2 linked regions of the Ovis aries genome follow. The protein of the gene in region 1 interacts with the protein of each later gene in a pairwise test. Links are inferred from orthologs where the notes say so. Each region holds a gene or a part of one and is shown in the gene's direction. Other genes may lie near its edges.

Region 1 (3,920 bases):
AGGGCATACAAGTTAATGATTAATTTCTATCGTAAAGTGGAGGGGGCTAGTGGAAAAAAGCATGGATTTTGAAGTCAGACTGGAGTTCACAGCCCAGCTGCAGCACTTACTAGCTGTGTGACATTGGGCCTCCGCTCAGCAGAACGTCGTAGAGAATGGATAGTGTATGAAAGACACCTACTGCTCTGCTTGGTAGTGTAGCTCGAGTGTTTATAGATGTTATAGATGTACTCAAGTAGATCACCGTGATAGAAAAATTAGTGTCATGAAGACGTAAAGTACTGACTTGCTAATATATCCAAGACCATAAAAAGCTCACTGCCCACCCCTCAACTCACAGACTACTTTCCTAGACTCTTGAAAGTGCTGCTGCTGCTGCTAAGTCGCTTCAGTCATGTCCAACTCTATGCGACCCCATAGATGGCAGCCCACTAGGCTCCTCTGTCCCTGGGATTCTCCAGGCAAGAACACTGGAGTGGGTTGCCATTTCCTTCTCCAGTGCATGAAAATGAAAAGTGAAAGTGAAGTCGCTCAGTCGTGCCCAACTCTTAGCGACCCCATGGACTGCAGCCTACCAGGCTTCTCCTTCCATGGGATTTTCCAGGCAAGAATACTGGAGTGGGTTGCCATTGCCTTGCGTTGCTTTACTTTATTGCTCTTATACACATGTATATGTGTTGTGTATGTAATAGGTTAGTAGTCAAGAACATGGCTGTGGAGCCAACAGCCTGGTGTCAAATCCTGGCTCTACCACTTACTGGCCTTGCAGCCTTGGACAGCTTCCTGATGTATAATGTGGATACGGTAACACCTATGTGGTAGGGTATTGTGGAAATTAAACGTATTAATGCATGAAAAGTGATTAGAGCAGTGCCTGGTACATAAGCACTATATAAGTACTGGCTGTTATTATTTTCTGCCTATTATTATGCTTTAAATCCGCACTGCCTCTTCAGGTTGGTTAATAAAGAGAAGTGGTTCTTAAACAAAAAATTGCAGCGGTGCAAAAGTGGGTCTGACCGGTTGTCTGATGATTCTTTATACTATCATTTTCAGGATTAAATTTCTATCAGCAAGTGAAATTGGTCAATTTCATTCGGAGGCAGATTCACCAGTGTAGATGCTATGGCTGCCATGAGAAGTTTAGGTCCAAAGCAGACTTAAGGACTCATATGGAAGAAGCTAAACATACTTCACTGCTTCCTGAAAAACAGATATGGGATCAACCACAGTGAGTTCTGCTCAACCAGACATATATTTCTTTGCTCCTTCTCCATTATCTCATCCATTTATTTAATTCCTTTAAATTTAAATAAAAAATAAATGCAAGTCTATTGTAAAAAGTAAAAATCTTCAAAAACCTTGATTTTAAAATAATCTCCCTGTTACAGGTGTAATCAACTACTTCAAATTTTATGGTGTAGTGATATGGATAGCTATAGATAGATACAGAAATATAGATTTTTAAGTTATATTTTGTTAAGAAAGTATTTAAAAGCATCTTCTATATCCACTACACATCTATTGCATCATTTTTAATGGTTGCCAAATATTCCATTGTATGGATGTTACCCTAATTTGCTAGATGTTCAGGATTTGTATGTTTTGCTCTTCTAAATAGATGCATATGCCTGCATTTTTGCACACTTGCATAATTATTTCATTTAGATAAACTTCTAAACATAAAACTACTGTGTCATACAGTATACCACTACTAGGGCTTTTGATGCATTTTTTGCATCCTGGCGCTTTTAAAAATATCAAGCATTTGTTCTTCTAGTATGTACCTGTTGAGATGGTCTCAGACTCCCAGGTATCCTTTGCCAGTCTCACCTTCTGAGATGGTTCTCAAATCAACTGTGGATAATCTCAGTTGTAAAAAGCTCAGTTGAGGGAACCTTTGGGAGGTTGTGGGGTTCCAGCTCCAGAGAGATTCCTCTGTTTTCAGGGGATGTTACATCAGAGCCCCCAGGAGTCTAGGCAAAAAGCTCCAGTTTTTCCTCTTCAGAAAATTCCAGATTTATGAGAGACAGAGTCAGCCCTGGACTAACCTGAGACCCAGTTCCTATAATTCTTCTTATACAATTCAAAACCTTTATATTTCAGAACTAACTCCAGAGTGTGTCCAGAGAAGGAACCAGAGTAATAGACTTAAAATGCTATAGATGTTTTTAATTTTTTTAATTTATAATGAATAGTGATGATTAGATTGGGGGGGAACCCCACACCTGGAAACAGTTGTTTTTATTGGATATTTGAAGGAGTAGTGTATGAAAGAGTAACTGTATTTGAACTTTGCTGTCCCTAGGGGAGAACTGAAACTTTTGAATAGAAATGAGAGGAATGTCGTTTTTAGCTTCATACAAGGAGGTATTAAATTGATAGCTAGATCTGCCTGATAGTAGAGTAGGCTGCCTTTTAAGATAGTATCTTGTTATGTTAAATATCAAGCAAAGGCTGAAATGCCAGCTAACAAAGATACTAGTAAGACTGATGTCAGCCAATAAAGGTCAAAGTAAAATTAATTCAGAAGTTCTCTCCCTTACAGCCTTTGCAAAATGTAGTTGAAACTGTTGGCAAAGAAACTTAGCAAAATTATAGTAATGTGTACATTCAACTGCTGAGAAATTTTCTAGATAATCTATAGTTTTGGTTATTCAGTATATTTGTGGTTGTTTTCAGGTATTACTTTCCAACTTATGAAAATGACACTCTGCTGTGTACACTGTCTGACAGTGAAAGTGACCTGACAGCTCAGGAACAAAATGGAAATATTGCCATCATTAGTGAAGATACATCTAAACTGCATGCTTTGAAACAAAGCAGTATTTTGAACCAGTTGCTACTACATGAGTCCTTGAAAAACTAGAAGAAACTGCCACAGAAGCAATGTTTCATGTTTTCTCCCAATAGACAGACACGAAAGAATACTTCAAAGTTGAATGTCAACAAAGGATTAGTCCTTGGTAAAATAAACTTTTAAAAAATGATTTTTTTCCAAAAGTAAAGTGGAAACTAAATAAAATGAAGGCTTTTTGTATTTGGGCTCTAAAGTTTTATTATATAATCATTGTAACTCATATTTATCTATAATAAGGAAGATATGTAAATCAAAGAGAAATGAAATGTTCAAATTGTTTATACACCTGATTTCAACCAGTAGTTTCAGTTTCTTCCCCACAGACTTCCTTCTTCCAACAAGTCACAAAATTTGACAGCTGAGTACTTTCTGTACCACACTGGGTCAGCTGTAAATGTAGGACCAGCAGAGGAGCCACAGAAGAGAGGAAAGATGGTCAAAGTCCTGGATAATGCACACGTTGGACACTATTTTGGAATAATCAAGATCTGACTATATTATTCGTATTGCTTTCCACCTAAAGTTACTAAACTGAAACTCCTTAAAAATGGACTTCAAGACAACTTCACTTTCCCCTACAGTGTGTACATGGCTAACAGATAAGTATCGTTTTTTTATAAACATGACCACAGTACCATTATAACATTTATAAAATTAACAGTAACTTCTTAATATCGTACGTTTTCCATTGTCCCTAGTTGAAAAGTGTGTTTAGTCTACTGCATCTGGTGCTGTCAGTCTGATGCACCATTATAAAGTTCGCCATCAAACCATTTTAGTGTCCATTGGTATATATTATCTAGAATATTTCTTTAGGGCTTGCACAATGGTGATTTTCTAATTCTATCATTTCTTTACCAATGGGTTCTTTACAGCGTGGGTGCTCAAGAGCACTGGAGTCTGAAAGTTCTAGTTTTGTTTTTTAATTTATTTTTTAATTGAAAGAAAATTGCTTTACAATATTGTGTTGGTTTCTACCATAGAGCAATTCAAATCAGCCGTAATTATACATATATCCCCTCTCGCGGGAGCCTCCCTCCCCTCCCCCTACCCCTCTGGT
Region 2 (5,104 bases), about 46 Mb from region 1:
ACCAGCTTAATTTCGTATCAATTATTAATGTTTTCACCCTAAAGTCTAAATAAAGAAATGAAGTACAGACACCACAAAGAGAGTATTTACCTCTCTTTGGCGCACAGAAGTCCATACACGAAGCTTTATCTGGGAACCGGTTCTCATCGCTGTGACACCCGCCAGATATGAACTTTTCACAGGTCATAGAACTTAGATTGAAGAAATACTGTTCTCTGAGCTCCCCACACTGCTTCTTATTCACTTTTAACCGGCAAATTTTGGGAACTTCTAGGAAAACGAGGGCATAAAACAATGTTAGTCAAAAATCAGCCTTCTTACTCTTCCTTTAAAACTTAACTGTATTTTCAGAAGCCACTGGTGGTGGCCAGGGGTAGAGTGGTGATGGGGGTGGGAGGCATGATATTTAGCGCTGGGCTAGTAAACGCCCAAAAGATTGCCCATTAGTCCAGCAACAACAAGATTTTGTATCCTTGGGTCCAGCATTCCGCAGATGCAACCAACCCAGAGAGAAAATATTCAGGAAAAAATAATTCCTGAAAGTTCATTAAAAAAAACACACAAAAAAACAAAGTTTGAATTTGTCCTATGCTGGTAGGGAGTCTAGAGATAAATTAAAGTATAAGGGAGAATATGCACAGGTTATATGCAAATGCTGTGGATTTTGGCATCAGAGAGTTGGGGTCTTGGAACCAGTCACCACAGACACTGAGAGACAACTCTATTCAGCTTTTGATTTTTTTAACAGTGTCTCCAGACCCGATACAGCTGTGATAAATTTTTCATGCTTACTGGAAAGATTCTTCTCTCAGAGTGTTCTGATTGTTTCAATGTATGAAATTAATCAAACTTATTCATAGGAATACACATTTTTCCCTGGCTCAGTTCCTTTAACAGCTGAGCCCCGTGTTCTATTACAGGCCTTCACAGAGACAGTAAACATAATTAAAATTGCAAACAGCATTGTGAATCTCTCTATTTTTTATATCTCTATACCAACCCAAGATCTCTTTGGGTATCAAGGGATAAAAGTAAGGTTATAATTAGCTAAATTCAGACGTTAATAACAAAATCCACTGAAAGTATTTCAGATCGCTACACAGTGGACAAGAGGAAAATGCCCTCTCAAGAAGGCATAAAAACCATAGGTTTAGAACTAATGATAAATACAGACAGGCACTTATGTTGCACCTAATACATGACACTCTTGCATCCTTAAGCCTTAGGTGAAATCTTTCCGGAGTCTGCACACACACTGAATTATGATAAATGCCAGTTAAGGGACAGGAAATGTTTGTCGTTGGAAGTTTCATGATCACTTTTAGTCAACTGAAAAGCAATAAGCCAAACAGGATCCGAGAAAATCAAGGATGAAACTTACTATGGGATGTGAAAAATAAGCTCATTTCCCACTTAGCCCTTCTCTGCCGCAGTACTGGAGTTCTGGGAGTGGGAGCGAGCACTTACTCTCAATCTTCCAGCATGCTTCGTTGCAGGCCTCCAAAGTTTCAAAATTGTTGGCATTGCCCTCGCAGCCTCCGTACATGAATTCGCGGCAGCTCTGCGTGTACCTGTCGTAGTAGTAACTGGGGATCCGCGCCCGGCAGGGCCCGTCGTCCAGGGGCAGGAGGCAGATTTCCGCGTTATTTCCTACAGGAGGGGTAGGAGAACCAGAGGCAGAGGAGGAGGTCAGCCGCATCTCGGTGGAGGGAGGGCTTCCCCCAGGGTGGTGGGGGTGGGGAGGTTTGTCCCAGCAGCTTCCCAGCCCAGCAGAAGGGCCTTACAGAGACAGGAAGTGCAAACTTGCGGTGCACGACAGGAATTAGGGGGAAGGAGGGCGCAGAGAGCGGGTGCAGGGGTCCGCGGAACTCCTGCCGCCTGGCCAGGGCGAAAAGGGGTCCCCTGAGCGCGGGTTGGTGGGGTACCTGGCGGCGCCTGCGGGGCATCACCCAGCGCAGTTCCCACGAGGAGCAGCGACAGAAGCATCAGCCAGAGGGGGCGAACCGAGTCCATGGTGTCCGGATTCAGACGGTGCCGGCGAGAGGAGCGGAGGAGGGTGCACAGCGTCCAGCCTCCAAGCGGTCTGGATTCCAGCGCGGTGGGTGCCGCTGCTTTTGTAGGGTTAGCGGCCCTCAGAGACGGGACAGGGCGGAGCGCGCCTTCGTGGAGCCTGGAGGGGAGGCTGATTCATGCCCCGTGAGCTCTGTGACCCGGCCGCCTCCCTGCGCTGGAAAGTGTGTGCGGGGGAGAGGAATTCCCCGCCAAGCTGAACCTGGCCCCAAACTTTCTCCCGTGGCTCTTCGGGGATGACCCAGATGAAGCATTGTGTCAGAGATGGGAAGTCGACAAGCTTGAGGGAAATGACCTGGGTGTGATTGCACAAGGTTCCAGCTTGCAGCATCACGCCGAGGCCTGAATCCACACTTTGAAAGCACAAAGTCTGTGTCTTTGGCAGGTAGAAAGTGTGAAACTCCTAGGGCCCAAGGAAGCGGGGCTTATTACATTAGATCCTTTCATTAGATTAGAAATGTAAGCATATGCGTATCTATTTACCTTTAGACATAGATATGGGCTTCCCTGGCGGCTCAGATGGTAAAGAATCTCCCTGCAGTGAGGAGTCCCAGGTTCAATCCCTGGGTAGGGAAGATCCCTTGGAGGAGGGAATAGCAACCCACTCTATTCTTGCCTGGAGAATTCCATGGACAAAGGAGCCTGGCAGGCTTCAGTCTGAGCGACTAACACTTTCAACCACATATTTCAGTAGAGGTCTGATTTACATTTCATGGGCTCATAATATGTCCAAGTGTATAGCTGGGTCAATTTTGGCAATTATATATTCCTTTGTAATCACCACTCCAATCCAGAATTAGAACATTGTCATCACCCCAGAACATTCTCTTATACCCTTTCCCAGTCCATCCTTCAACCTGAGGCCAGGGACAATAGCTCTTCTGATCAGCATAAATTAGATTTCCCTGTTCTAAATCTCATGCAAACAGAATCATAAAATCTGTACTGTTTTGTACTTCACTTTACTGGTTTTAAGACACACTTATGCTGCTGTAGGGGCTTTCCCTCGTGGCTCAAATGGTAAAGAATCTGCCTGCAATGTGGGAGATGCAGGTTCAATCCCTGGATTGGGAAGATCCCCTAGAGAAGGGAATGGCAACCCACTCCAGTATTCTTGCCTGGAGAACCCCACGGACAGAGGAGCCTGGCGAGTCACAGTCCATGGGGTCCCAAAGAGTCGGACACGACTGAGCGACTAACACACACACTCACATGCTGTCTTAGAGTGTGTTCCTTGTAAATGTTGAGTAGTCTTGCAATGTATGAGTATACAGTGAATGTCCTATTACTGGACATTTGTATTATTTCTAGTTTGGGGCTACTGCTATGAATAAAGCTGCTTTGTGTATGCAAACAACTTTTATTACTCTCAAGTAAAATATTTTAAAATGTTAGAAACTGCCAATCAGTTTTCCAAAATGATTCTCCACCCCTATCAGCCGTGTTTTTGAGTCATAACTGTGTTTTTGGACCCGAAACAGGAAAATCCAAAGAGCAGTAGCCTTGGGGGATGTGGCGAGTAGGTCCTGAAGCTTTGACCAAATCAGCTGCTTCCCATACATTTCTCAGGGTCAGTTTGTCTATTACCATTCATTGGTACTTTGACATAATAGTGTGAGCCTAGTCTTTGGTTTATACAAAACAAATGATCTACACTGGGATTTTATATGAAATGTTAAGGATATTTTTGGAGAATATTTTAATGGGCTCTCTTGATGACTGTGTCTTTCCTTCCTCCACCTTTTCCTCTTGCTCTATTTAATATTCTTAAGAAAGTAACTATTCCTGGCTTCTTCTGAAGATACTGAAGGGAATTTACAAGAGTTCTTTCCAGTTTCGGAAAATCTCTCTGCTCAAGGTGAGTTAGTAATCTGGGATATTTCCACATATAATGCCTAGGGCCAGTTTTCAGTTTTCCTGGTGTCATGGCAAAGGACTATATTCCTAGGAAAACTAGCCTGGTCTGGAAATACTCTGTGTCTCTTTTGCTGTCAGATTGCTGGATATCTGTGGTTAAGAGTGACAGGGTTATAAGGATAAAGGTTGAACAACCAGTTTGCCAGGAAGGAAAAATGAAATGGGGGAGGGGTGTGTTGGGTTGAATATGTTACTGATTTCCATGGCGTAAATGCTCCCAGTTATGGCTGATTCCAAACCACCAGAGTTGGGAATGGATGAATACAGTCGCGTTCACCAGAGCCAATGTGAGCTAGCTCCAGCAAGTCAAACACTGAGGCAGCCAGTTGGTTTTGGAAAGATATACTCCTCTGAGAATCAGATTAGATCTTCCCAATACCTCCCAAATACTAATAGGGGAGGGAAATTTCACCAGACATTTAGCCAGGATCATGTTGAGATAATCACTTCATGGCAAATAGATGGGGAAGCAATGGAAACAGTGACAGACTATTTTCTTGGGCTCCAAAATCACTGCAGATGGTGACTGCAGCCATGAAATTAAAAGAGGCTTGCTCCTTGGAAGTAAAGCTATGACAAACCTAGACAGAGTATTAAGAAGCAGAGACAGTACTTTGCTGATAAAGGTCCATATGGTTTTTTCCTGTGGTCATGTATGGATGTGAGACTTGGACCATAAAGAAGACTGAGCACTGAAAAATTGATGCTTTTGAACTGTAGTGTTGGAGAAGACTCTTGAGAGTCCCTTGGCCTGCAGGGAGATCAAACCAGTAAATTCTAAAAGAAATCAGTCCTGAATATCATTGGAAAGACTGATGCTAAAGCTGAAGGTCCAATACTTTGGCCACCTGATGGGAAAAGCCGACTCATTAGAAAAGACCCTAATTGGGGAAAAATTGAAGGCAGGAGAAGAAGGGGATGACAGAGGATGAGAAGGTTGGATGGCATCACTAACTCAATGCACATGAGTTTGAGCAAGCTCTGGGAGATGGTGAAGGACAGGGAAGCCTGGCTTGCTGCAGTCCTTGGGGTCACAAAGAGTCAGACATGACTGAGTGGCTGAACAACAACAACAATGTTGAGAAGAAAAGTTAATTCAACTTCAAAGGTAAACTAT

Evidence for each region. The genes of interacting proteins can lie anywhere in the genome.
Region 2: the proteins of ZNF277 (region 1) and GNGT1 interact in a two-hybrid assay, tested with the Homo sapiens proteins (3 studies listed by BioGRID and IntAct). The two-hybrid records come from large-scale screens. The link is inferred for Ovis aries from reciprocal best matches to the Homo sapiens genes ZNF277 and GNGT1.

What each region holds. Positions count from the first base shown.
Region 1 is NC_056057.1:57,592,433-57,596,352, reverse strand, and holds the end of ZNF277 (zinc finger protein 277), read left to right. Parts: intron 1-1,056; coding exon 1,057-1,231; intron 1,232-2,682; coding exon 2,683-2,869; 3' UTR 2,870-3,040; downstream 3,041-3,920. UniProt on the Homo sapiens protein: Probable transcription factor. Involved in modulation of cellular senescence; represses transcription of the tumor suppressor gene INK4A/ARF, perhaps acting via the Polycomb group (PcG) complex PRC1.
Region 2 is NC_056057.1:11,982,221-11,987,324, forward strand, and holds the start of GNGT1 (guanine nucleotide-binding protein G(T) subunit gamma-T1), read left to right. Parts: upstream 1-1,650; 5' UTR 1,651-1,688; intron 1,689-1,925; coding exon of another isoform or gene 1,926-2,013; exon of another isoform or gene 2,014-2,091; intron 2,092-5,104. Other genes in the region: TFPI2 (tissue factor pathway inhibitor 2), read right to left, coding at 91-270, 1,468-1,650, 1,926-2,013. UniProt on the Homo sapiens protein: Guanine nucleotide-binding proteins (G proteins) are involved as a modulator or transducer in various transmembrane signaling systems.